Drosophila melanogaster: one gene and its partner. The gene in region 2 interacts genetically with the main gene of each other region. Each region holds a gene or a part of one and is shown on either strand. Other genes may lie near its edges.

Region 1 (4,990 bases), on a different chromosome or scaffold from region 2:
CGCTCTGGTTTTCAGCAGGTCATCATTAGTAGTGCTCTGCATTTGGGGTTATGATCATTTCAAAACTTCAACTCAACGAGCATAAGTGGGGGAAACAGTCCAAAGAACGATCAAAACTGGGCAACTGGTTGTTGAACGGCGTGCGAGTGAACAGAGAAATGGGAGCAGTCAGAGAGGAGGGGTTTTTGGGAGCGAAACACGTGCATAAGCGCACGCACCTTGGACGGAGATTTGCCGCCCTTCTTCGACACGATCACTCCTCTGGTCCTTCGTCTTTGGCCACAGAAATCGGTTGCAGAAGTCCCTGTCCTTGCAGCAGGCGTGGGCGCCATTGCGACCCACTGGGCGGGCGGTTGGTCCGCCGTGCAGCCCGTCGTTACACCAGATGGAGCGGCCCGGCGGAAAGATTTGAGACTTGTGCAGACATCTGCATCGCTCGATAGATCGATCGTATCAGACATATTCACACTGGCTGCTCTGAGGGGCAAGTGCTAACCTAATCAAAGGCCTGCTCCTCAGGCTCTCGGCACTCACCTGTAGCTGAAGATGATGCTCCCATCAGAGTTCTTCTCCACGGACGTGAAACAAAAGCCGTCCGTTTCACATATATTGTTCGATTCCTTGCACGTGTCACAGTGGCATTTTATCTTGTCTGCAGAACATAAAAGGTAAAATTAATATAAAGATCTATTTGCAAAAAACCAAACTTTAGAGTACTATCAAATCCATACATTCCTACCAAAAATTTGTTAACTTTAAACCGACTCACCAACAAAAACTTATTCTTCGCTTAACGATATATCTTCACTATTTGTAGGTGATCCTAACCAAGCACGTGTTTCTTGTAATATTTAATGAATATTAATTACTTGTGGAAAGGTAAGCAAAGGAAGAGGTCCGCGCCTCATTTGCCACGGTTAATGATTTTCTTATTATTTAAACAAATAAAACGCAAAAGCATAGGTTAGCAGTAGCAAACTTCTCGAATTAAGAAAATGCCCCGACTCCGATTGAAGCAAATCAATCAATTAGGCGCTGGCAGAAATTAACTAATTAGAGAAATAAGAGACCCATAAATCAACCACTCGCTGATTGGCATCTCCTGACCACAAATTGGGATTTGCCATAACCATGCCCCCGGGGCACCTGGCCGGGCACACGCTCGCCCAGACAGTCACATAGACATCCATAGCCACTACCATATCCACATCTACCGCCACCGACACCGCCGAGAGCGTGATGAAACAAAAACAAAACCATTTAGCATTAACAAAGCAGACGCGGAGAAGACAAGTGCAAAGTGGAGGGCCAGACAATGCGACCAGTTTCCCCTTCCCCCGGACAGCGAGAAGCCAGTGCCAGTGCTTAGGCCTGCTTTTTTTTGCACCGACTGCAGTTGCAAGTGCCCAAGTGCAGCAAGCAAATGCATCCAGACGTGGGGGTGTCTGCAGCCAGGCAGCGTTGGAGTGGGCCATGAGAGCTGTCTGGCTCAGCTCATTGACACCACGGAGAGGTGACGTCACTATATGGGAACGGAATCGGAGCCTCAGGCGCAGACGAAGACGGCCTTTTAGAAGCGTTCAGAGTCTTTGAGGTGTTACAGTCACGCGATATACACACGGAGAAAAGATCCCTATGGCATCGAAAAGATCGCCAAGTATTAAGTAACCCTTGGTAAGATATTTTAATTATTAAACAACAACAACAAAAATGTCAATATATCGGACAAGTAAGGTATAACCACTAAGCGGTTTCTATCTTCTCCCAATAATGGATTTCACCTTAAAAAAGGGAAGTAAAATGACCTTTACTCTGTGCTGACTTTCCTGGTTAACTGAAGTCAAGTAAAATGTTTGCAAGGCAATACCGGAACAAGTCTGTAAATCTATCACATTCTTGTTGTTTAGATAATTCGGGGTGCATTGTCCGCAGTGTGCTCTACACTCTCGTTAGGCAATCGGAACTTACTTTCTGGCTTTTTCGCGCTAGGCTGAGCAATGTAGATGGGCAGCTGGGGAGTAACAGCAGGGGCCACAGCTCCAGATGCGTCGCCGTCTTGCGGCAGCAGCATGGACACGGCGCTAGCGTTGTTGTTGTCGTGGCTTCTGTTATCAGCGGCCAGCGACGACGATGGCGACTGATAAGCATGTCCAGCTGTTCCAGCTGGAGCCCTGAGCGCCGGCGCTTTGGTCGTCGGTGGCCATTTGCCAGGGTGGGTTGCAGTCGCAGGATCAGATCGAGAGCCATTTAGGCTGGTGTCCATTACGAACTCAATGGGGGAGGCTGCACCGGGGGAGATTTTAGGTTAGTTTCGCACCTGATCCAGATTAATGGAACCGCTGGGGGGTACACTCACCGCAAACAGAGGCGCCGAGCAGAGCGCCCAGGAAGATTAGCCGGAGCGCAGATAACATGTTGGCTATTCGCACCGACGATAGTGTGTGCGACCCGACCCGAGCTATTGTTATTGTTTGTGCAGCCCGAGAGCTTTTCTTTTGTTTTCCACGATCGCACGCACGCACACGCGCGTCGCAAGTTCAAAGTCTGTGGCCTGCAAATGAGATTGTTGTTTCGCGGCAGGACGAGGCGGGGCCGCAGGAGCAGGAGGAGCGGCAGGAGGACACCTCAGACAGCCACTAATTGGCCCCGAACTGCGCATTTATCGCGTAGGACAGGCGCCCGCGAATTCCCACATTTGGCGGGGGCATGGCCGGGAATATAGACTGGCGATTCTCACAATTAGCGAATCTCGATGGGGGCCCGCAATGCGAAACTCGAACTCCACACTCCGCACAAGTTGGTTGGAAAAACTGCTCTGCTCTGCTTTACATTTCACGGACGAGGGCGACTTTTCAGGCGGATTTTCATCACGTGATTGGGGCAGTGGCGCGGGGGAAGTGGCACTATTTCATATTCCGCGGGACAGCCGGCACTTTCGGGTGTCTGGGGCAACCGTTTGTTTATATTAATTGCTGCTATTTTTTCTTAAATGTACAATTTTGTGCAGCGAAAAACCGCGCTGGTGTGTGTGGATTTGCAAACAGTGTGACCGCACCTGCAGTAGTGTGCCCAGGCTGGACTGCCCATGAAAAACACCCACCCGCTAGAGAAGTGCGTAAAAATGCCCAATCGGTTATGTTTTTATGGACAATGATTTTTGTTAAAATATTGGTTGTTTCCAGGATACATAAAAAAATTTCGATTTGTTTTGTAACAGATATTTATTTGCAATAGCTGCAGGTACTGCACCCGTTCCCAGAAACCCAACCAGAACCAAAATGCGGGGCATACGACAGCAAAATGATCATGTCCACTATTTTTACTGCCATAACAGACTGAAAAGGTTCAGAGGCGGCATGCCAGGCTCAGCTCCCTTCATAAATCCTGCGAAAATGAGAATTGGTCAAAATCAATGTCGGTCCATTTGATATTACCCCGCTGCTTCTTCTTCCCAGCCGCGTGTAGATTACAAAAAACATGAACCACAACTTACCCAAATACAGCACAAGAGGCACGAATCCCCAGTGGAATCCAGTCTGGACGACTCCAACCACAAATCCCAAACGATCCTTAACTCCCTCGGATAGCTTCATTTCGTACGGATATTGAATTTAGCTCCTTTTGCGAATTATGAAATGATAACTTGTCTGACTGCAAACGAAGTGTTGGAAAACAGCACTTTTTTCGATATAAAACAGCTGACAGAAACTTTTTGTTAGGTTACTCGTTCAATTTATATTTTCTTGGGATGGCTTTGTCGCAGGTTGCTGGGCCTGAAATAATTTACCAATTTAAAGAATCAGTAAAATTATTTCGAATACAGATTTCTGTTGGTGTGGCAACATTGACATTTGAGCGCAAAATTTAAATTCGCTTCTAAAACGGTCACACCGTTTTGCCCTTTGGGTTTTAATCTGATATTCTTTAATTTATATTTTCCACTATAAAGGTTTTTAACTACCATTTCACCGACAAGTTGTCTATTGGACACATATCATGAAAAGAAAAAAGTGTGCTTGGTCTGAAAAATACCTTTTCGTATTTTTAATGATCCCGCAATATTTTTGCATGTGTACTCCCATCAACTTTAAAGATGTTACATTTCCAAAGTTTCAAATTCTGAAAGCGTTGGAAATGCAACAAGAATTTGAAGTAAGGAAACTTCTTTTTAACGCTCAAAGTTTTCGTTGATTTCTTAACAATATGAAGCATAAAAATAAAAAATACCCCTGCTATCTCTCGCAGCAGGCAAGTGCTCCGTAGATCGATACTATCGCAGCCACTCGAAGTCCCATCTCTAATCTCGAGTCCCTTTCGCACTTGCCCGCTACTCACATGAGTTCTAGATCGTTTAGTTTTCTTGGTTTTCATTTGCTCGCCAAATTTTAGCAACGTTGCTGGTTTAATCGGCTGCACCTGCAATCGCGGTTAATCAGAGAGCGCCGAGCACTAAAGTTCCCATTGCCAAACGAAACGTAAGTGATAAAGAACGCCAGCAATGAGCGAACAAGAGCAAAGCGCACGCAGTCGGGGAAAAATCAATTGATGTTATGTAAGCTCGAATAACCGGATACCGTGTCTACTACTGTTGCAGGTCCCGATTTGCTCGATTTGGAACTGGAACGGACCATGAAAACAAGCAATCTCGGCCTGTACGCTTTCCGTTTAACCTTCGGTCAGGTGAGCACACGCACATTAAACCAGGCAGCCAAACGGCAGAAACAGCATGCGCATTCTGGGGGAAACCTCTGAGTTTTTCGGCCGGGCAAACCAAGGACCACCACAATCGTCGTTGAGAATGCAGCGACTGCAGCCGGGAGACGAGTGTCTGGAGTGCCAGAGTGAAGGCAGGAATCACAAGCTGCGCTACTTTTACATTAATCTCGAGGAGCAGCTGCTGAAGTGCGAGTCCAGGAGCTGTTTGTGGCCACACAACGATGAGGTCTCCTCTGATGAAGATCTGAACTCGGAGGCAGCACTTCCCATCACT
Region 2 (7,006 bases):
TATTTTATTTTTTTTTTTTTTAGTTTACCAAACCTTATCTCAATCTCCCACAGGCGTGCCCTTGTATCGTAGCCTTATCGATTATCGCCATAGCCGGCAGGCAGCCAACACACAAAAGATAATAATGAATCAATGAAACTGACACACTAACTAGCCGATGCAATATTTATCTGTTTGCAATGATTATTTTAAATTAATGATACAAACCGAAACTGAATAATCAAATTGTTTGTTTTTGTTCTTGATGAAATACAAAAAGTTTTTTACGTGAAGAAAAAAAAAAGAGAAAAACTAAAAATTGAAACTAAAAGCAAAAACCCAGTTGTTTTACATATACCAAAAGCATCCATCCATCAAACCATAATTTCACACATCCAAACACATTTAACTTTCTCCGGTACAGTACAACCAACGCAAGCCTAAATAAAGGAAACTATTAAAGTTGCAGAACATATTTTCAAAACATCTAAGTGGTTCCTATCTTTCTTTGAAGTAAGTATAATTTTCGAATTACTAGAGTGTGTAATGGAATAGTTTGAAAAATTGTACGTCTACACATTTACTGGCTTTATTAATTGGAAATCCCGAGATTTACTTTAAAGTTACATCTAATACTTAATATACATCCGACATATGAACTTTACGTGTCCTCGAACGTTGTCAAGTCCATTATGTAAACATTTGATACGAGACAGTCGCCTTCCTGGAAGTCAAGAGTAAACCAAAATTAGGCTTGCCTAAACTTACACCAGTTGAGTACGTACCCCAGGCGTAATGCCCACAAGAGCATCAGCATGACCATAGAACTCTTCCTTCAGGGAAATGACGATGGTTTGCAGGTTGGTTGTGTGATCCCTTATATACGAAGCGACTTTGCCAATATTCGTGTTGTCCAAGGCGGCATCAATCTCGTCAAGGACAAAGAACGGCGCTGGATGAAAGCTGCATAAAAATATATTAATATTTACTCTCAAAATGTGGAAAAATATTATATCTGCATACCTGTGGGTCGAGAAGAGCAGAGCCAAGGCTGCTATTGTTTTTTCGCCACCACTCAAGTTGTTCATGGGTTGGAAACGTTTGCCTGGCGCCACACAATTATAGTTAATACCATCCAGATATGGTTCCTCAGGATTGTCGGGACCGATATAAGCCTGGGCTGCCTCGTTGCGAGCCAATTTCTTGTAGATGCCGTCAATGGCGTCCGATATGTGCTGGCAACACGCAACGAATCGCGAGGAGCGTTCGTTCTTAACCCGTTCAAATGCCGCCTTGGCCCTCTTTGCTTTCTTGCGCGCATTCTCAAACTCCTCATTGGTGGATTGCACTTTTTCCGTTACAGCATCGAGTTTCTGCAGTGCTTTCATGTTGGGTGTCTGTATGCGCTCCAAGACGTCCAGCTTGCTTTGCAGGTCCTTTTGAAGCATTTCGTGGGTCTTTTTGAAAGCGGAGTCATCCTTCAGCTTGGTATACTCTCGTGGTAGAGATGAATAATCCACTTCAATACTGAAAATGAATCAATAACGTACTTTAGTTCAGTTGTTTTTGATGCTGTGATTAAATAAACTTACATATTTTCCATCGCTGCAGAGGTGGATGGGACATCCGGATCGCTTTGTCGCACTGCGTCGTCCAGCGAGCCGCGCAACAGTGGTACCACGATGCAATCGGTCTACAGAGTGAATAATACATTATAAGACAGAGTAATAGTTATCATATAATTACTTTAACTTACTTTTGCTTGCAACAGTATGTTCTGACGTTCGTTTTTCTTGGCCTCGATCTTAGACTCTACCGCAGATAAATGACTGCCCACGTTATGGATCTCCTTGGCCAAATTTGCCACATCCTTGCGAGCTTTAGATATGTCCTCTTCCATGTCATCCACGGCTTGCTTCTTGGCCTGCTTGTCCTGCTTGAATTTTTCCATTTTCTCCTTATCCTCGTCGATTTCCTTTAAATAGCGTGCCTCAGCCAATTTGAGTCCCTCTAGGGCATCTTCCTCATCCTGCACGCTGCGCTCCCAGCGCTCAACGTTTTCTGTGAAGGCAGGCATTTGTTTGGCATTTTAAAAGCATAGTATTTTGTATACTTACTTTTAGTGTCTTTCTGTTTCTCGAAGTCCAGCTGCGAGTTTATGGAATCAATCTGCTGCTCGAACTCAGCCCGTTTACGCGCTCGCTCTTGCTGCATGACGAGCTCACGCTCCTCGTATTGTCGTATGTTCTTCACGCCCAAGCGACGGCAGAAAGAGGCATATACTTTGTCCTCCACATTGTTCATGTTTTCTTTGATTTCCTGGATGTGCTCCTCGCGGTTTTGCATACGACGCTCGATCTCAAGGATCTTGGGCTGCAAAATTGGGATAGACAAGATTATAAATTAGGTTTAATTTTGTAACTTGAAAGGGAAACTCACTCCAAATTCGTCCAACTGCGATTGGACTTGCTGCAACTGATTGTCATACTGACTAATTGACTTCTTGGAGGACTCCAAATCGACCATACTATATTTAAGCCTGTTTTCAAGACCCTTGATCTGCGACTCCACAGTGGCGAGCTCACTCTGCTTACGTGACTTTTTCACCAGCTCCTTGAGCTCTTCTTGAAGGCGCTCCTTCTGCATTTTCAGCTGAGCCATGTGCTTCTCGTCCCATCGCTTAGCTTTGCGAGCCAGATCGTGACTACCGCCAGATATGAGACCCGATTTCTGGTAGAATGTTCCGTCCAGGGCCAGAGCATCGAAACGTGATCGGTCTATCTCGTAAGCCACTTTCATGGCGTCCTCGGGAGTCTCGCAAACGAGAGCATTGCCTGTGGCGAAGAGCACAGCCCGTTCGATCTCTTGAGGCTCAAACTTTAGTACATCGAAAACCAATCGCACGTTCCGCGGGTCGCTGATGTTACGAAGTCGTTCCTTCAGAGGCTTAACTTGCAGATAGTCCAAGGGCAAGAAGGTTTCCACTTCCAGCATTTGCTCCTTCAAGATCTATAGAACATATAAAATCGTCAATGCTTACATGTAAATCCCAGTTGATCAACTGAAACCCACCTGAATACAGTGTCTAGCCGTCTTTTCGGTGTCCACAATAATGGCTTCCATGAACTTGCCCAAAACTTTGGTGACGGCCACATTGTAGCGTTTATGCGTCGGCTGACACATGTTAATCATACGGTCGTACACTCCGGGAACCTGTTTTTTGAAGAGCTCCACCACCTCCTGCTTCTTTTTCCTACGAGCATCCTCGTGCTTGTCGCTCTTGGCATCGCCCAGTTGATCGCGTACGTCCTCCAATTCGCGTTGCTTTTCGGCTATCTTCTCCTTGGATGTGCCAACATCTCGCCGGAGCTCGTCCTTGATCCGGTTCTGTTCCTCCAAGGCAGCCTGTGATGATTTGATGTGATCCATCAGTTTGTCTCGACGCTTTACAGCTTCCTCGCGCTGTAATGTGAGCTTCTTGAAGGACTCCTCTACGGAGGCGCGACGATTTGTCTCCCCATCAAGCGTGTCCTGTTCGGATTTTTGCTCCCGGTTTACTGAGTCCAGCTCTGAACGGTACTGCGTAGCTGTGGCTTCCGCCTCCTGCTTCAGGCGATCGTACTCTTGCACAAGGCCCTCTTCCATGTTAACGCTTTTGCCGCGGCGCTGCGACTCGTTCTCGATCTCGTCCTCGAAACGTTTTTTCAGGGCCTCCACATCAGCCAGCTGCTTCTCCAGTTTCCGTATGTCCGACTGATGGGCATTGTCCGCCTCCCTGGCTGTTTCCAGAGTCTTCTGTAGGGAAATGAGCTTCTTCTTGCAGTGGGTAACTTTCTCTTTGGCCTTGATGTAAAGGGGCCTGCGTTTGTTCATCTGGGTTTCAAACTCTCTGATTTCCTGATCGATTTTGGCCAGGTCTCGGGTGATTTTTCCGGCGTCTTTCTTCTTTTCGCGCAGGATTTCATCGGCAGCTTCTTTTCGCTGTTCGACTGCTTTAACTTCCTGTTGCCTCACTTCCAAATCGCTCGTAAACTTCCGGATGTCCCTCTCCACGTGGAATAGCCTAAATAATTGATACTCCACTTGTTTTTCATTCTATTAGAATAAAAAGATGTAGCTAATTGGATAGAGTTGGCAGAATAAAGAGTCATACGTATTCATTTTGCAGGCGAGTGTAGCGATCAGCTTCCATCTTCTCGTGCTTGGCTTCTTTTCTTTCCGCCGCGATGCCCTTCTTCTTTTGGTAAGTAAACTGGGTCTCCTCCTCGGCAACAATCATTTCTTGTTTAAGTCGATTATAGTCGTCCTTAAGCAGGCCAGAACTGGAAAAGTGAACACGGGTCAAAAAATCCGGATTTTAGGTAAAAAATTAAAATTTACCCGCTAATTTCCTCAAATAGAGCAGTGCGTTCCTTGGGTGTCTTCATGGCTATGTTCTCAACAGCTCCCTGGAATACTAAAAAGTTCTTGGCCTTAACATTGATGCCAATTTTCTCCAGCTTGTTCAAGTACGTGCTGCTCGATACGCTCTAAATGGGGGATATGATTAATTGGCTAATAAGAGGATTGGTTGTCAATACGAACCTCTCCATTGATACGATATTCCGAGGAGCCGCCGATAACCGCCCTCTGGAAGTCCATGTGGCGCTCCTCGTTCAGCACAAATTTGGCGGTCACGTAGCAACTGCGGGAAACGGGCTTGCCAATGGAGGAGCCATGGATGAGGTCGTTCAGGCGCTTTACTCGCAAACTGCTGGTCTTCTCGCCCATCACGAAACTGATGGCATCCATGAAGTTTGACTTGCCTGATCCGTTGGGCCCAATAACAGCGTTGAATTGCTTCAGAGGACCCACAACTATGTGACCGCGGTAGGACTTGAAGTTCTCCATTTCGATGTACTCCAGGAAGGCCGTCTCGTCGTCCGGCTTGCGGACGGGCGCCGTCGCCACCCTTTGGGCCACATCGTCGTCCTCTTCGGTCATTCACACGCTCGATTGCAACAAATATCCAAGAAAAATAACAATATGAGCGCGAAATAATTTTTTTTCTCTTATGACAGTATGACCGTATCCGGCTAACGCCATCAATATCAGACGCTAGAGATGGCAAGGCGTAGAAAACAAACTATCGATGGGATACATCAGCGATAGTACAATTTTCATTTCAAATTAACCACTATCGATTACTATCGGTCGTCTTTGTTTACAAAATACAATTTGTAAACAAAAACATTTTAAAACTAATGAATAATTTATAATCTTGGGCTTATGCGAACCGAAGGCATTTTCGGTTTAAAACAATCATCACTGTAGATTTTCCAATGGCTTGTTCTTCATTTCAGGATCTTTTCATAATACCCTTCAAAAGGTCATGGAAATCAGAACTATATATATATTAATATGTACAATTATCTATACATTTTCATATGTATATTCATAATGCAAGCTGAGATTTTTTTCATTTGCTCTTGCATCTTAAAATTCCCTATTTATAAACACATTAAAGATTGTATCGATCTACGAAGTATTCTATATACATCCTATCTATGTACATCCTATATATGTATCTATATATTTATGTATCCTGGATATAGAGCAGTACGATTCTTTAAATTTTTGGAAATAATTAATTGGAATAATTAAGTTTTGAAAAGTGTGTTCAACTTTTAAGGTAATTGTATGTCATATTCTGCAGAGGAAATATTCCAATCAGAAGAAAAATACACACATATGTATTGCACATATAATAAAAGAGATATAAACCAAAAACAGAATCTAAAAATATGAATGGCTTAACGTATCAATCCGCAAATCAGCCAAAAATAGCTTGCATACGAATTTAGTTTAATGACCACTTGGAATGATGACCTATGTCAATAAAAAAAATATATTTCTCGAAATTTCCTGAACTTTCAGTCCTTTCAACTGACAATTTCCCCTGCGAAGTGCACACTAGTTGACTCGCTCGCACACACACGAACTGACTGGAATGTTCTGACCCTTTCTCGCAGGGAAATCTCGAATTTTCCCCTCCCGGCGACTGAGTATAAATACGGGCGCAAATTTCCCAGACGCTACATTTGAAATCAAACAGCCAAAGTGAAAACACTTCAGCAAACGAAAAATAAAAAGCAGTTCAGAGTGACAGTTGAAAACTGAAACGTCTTTACCAAGTGAAAAAATAGAAAAGCAAAACGCAAAGAAGCATACAAATTATTGAAAACTATCCACAAGAAAACGCACCCAAGTTCAAACTAAAAAGCAACAGAAATAGCCAAGATGCCAGCCATTGGAATCGATTTGGGCACCACATACTCCTGCGTGGGAGTCTTCCAGTACGGAAAAGTGGAGATCATTGCCAACGACCAGGGTAACCGTACCACACCATCGTACGTGGCCTTCACCGACTCGGAACGCCTTATTGGAGATGCCGCCAAGAACCAGGTGGCCATGAACCCCAAGAACTCTGTGTTCGATGCCAAACGCCTGATTGGGCGTCGTTTCGACGATTCCAAGATCCAGGAGGACATTAAGCACTGGCCGTTCAAAGTGATCAACGACAACGGCAAACCAAAGATAAGCGTGGAGTTCAAGGGCGCGAATAAGTGCTTCTCTCCCGAGGAGATTAGCTCGATGGTACTCACCAAAATGAAGGAGACTGCAGAAGCCTACCTGGGCACTACAGTGAAGGACGCTGTCATCACAGTGCCGGCCTACTTCAACGACTCCCAGCGCCAGGCAACAAAGGATGCTGGTGCCATCGCTGGCATCAATGTGCTCCGCATCATCAACGAGCCAACAGCGGCGGCTCTGGCCTACGGCCTGGACAAGAATCTGAAGGGAGAGCGCAATGTGCTGATTTTCGATTTGGGCGGTGGTACTTTTGACGTCTCCATCTTGACCATTGACGAGGGATCCCTGTTTGAGGTGCGCTCGACTGCGGGAGACACACATCTGGGTGGCGAGGACTTCGACAACCGATTGGTTAACCACTTTGCCGAGGAGTTTAAGCGCAAGTACAAAAAGG

What was found. A genetic interaction does not mean that the proteins touch.
Region 1: of SMC1 (region 2) and babo, changing one enhances a phenotype caused by changing the other (phenotypic enhancement), as found in Drosophila melanogaster (one study listed by BioGRID).

Annotation. Positions count from the first base shown.
Region 1 is NT_033778.4:8,950,396-8,955,385, reverse strand, and holds the start of babo (baboon), read right to left. Parts: upstream 3,048-4,990; 5' UTR 2,415-3,047; coding exon 2,357-2,414; intron 2,284-2,356; coding exon 1,969-2,283; intron 653-1,968; coding exon 535-652; intron 428-534; coding exon 219-427; intron 1-218. Other genes in the region: Tom7 (translocase of outer membrane 7), read right to left, coding at 3,320-3,384, 3,494-3,593; CG8229 (uncharacterized protein), read left to right, coding at 4,799-4,990; CG33199 (uncharacterized protein), read left to right, coding at 4,630-4,680.
Region 2 is NT_033777.3:24,056,357-24,063,362, reverse strand, and holds SMC1 (structural maintenance of chromosomes 1), read right to left. Parts: upstream 5,077-7,006; 5' UTR 4,963-5,076; coding exon 4,564-4,962; intron 4,509-4,563; coding exon 4,360-4,508; intron 4,302-4,359; coding exon 4,133-4,301; intron 4,075-4,132; coding exon 3,052-4,074; intron 2,989-3,051; coding exon 2,419-2,988; intron 2,353-2,418; coding exon 2,097-2,352; intron 2,041-2,096; coding exon 1,736-2,040; intron 1,673-1,735; coding exon 1,572-1,672; intron 1,507-1,571; coding exon 1,003-1,506; intron 943-1,002; coding exon 765-942; intron 704-764; coding exon 641-703; 3' UTR 548-640; downstream 1-547. Other genes in the region: Hsp68 (heat shock protein 68), read left to right, coding at 6,259-7,006.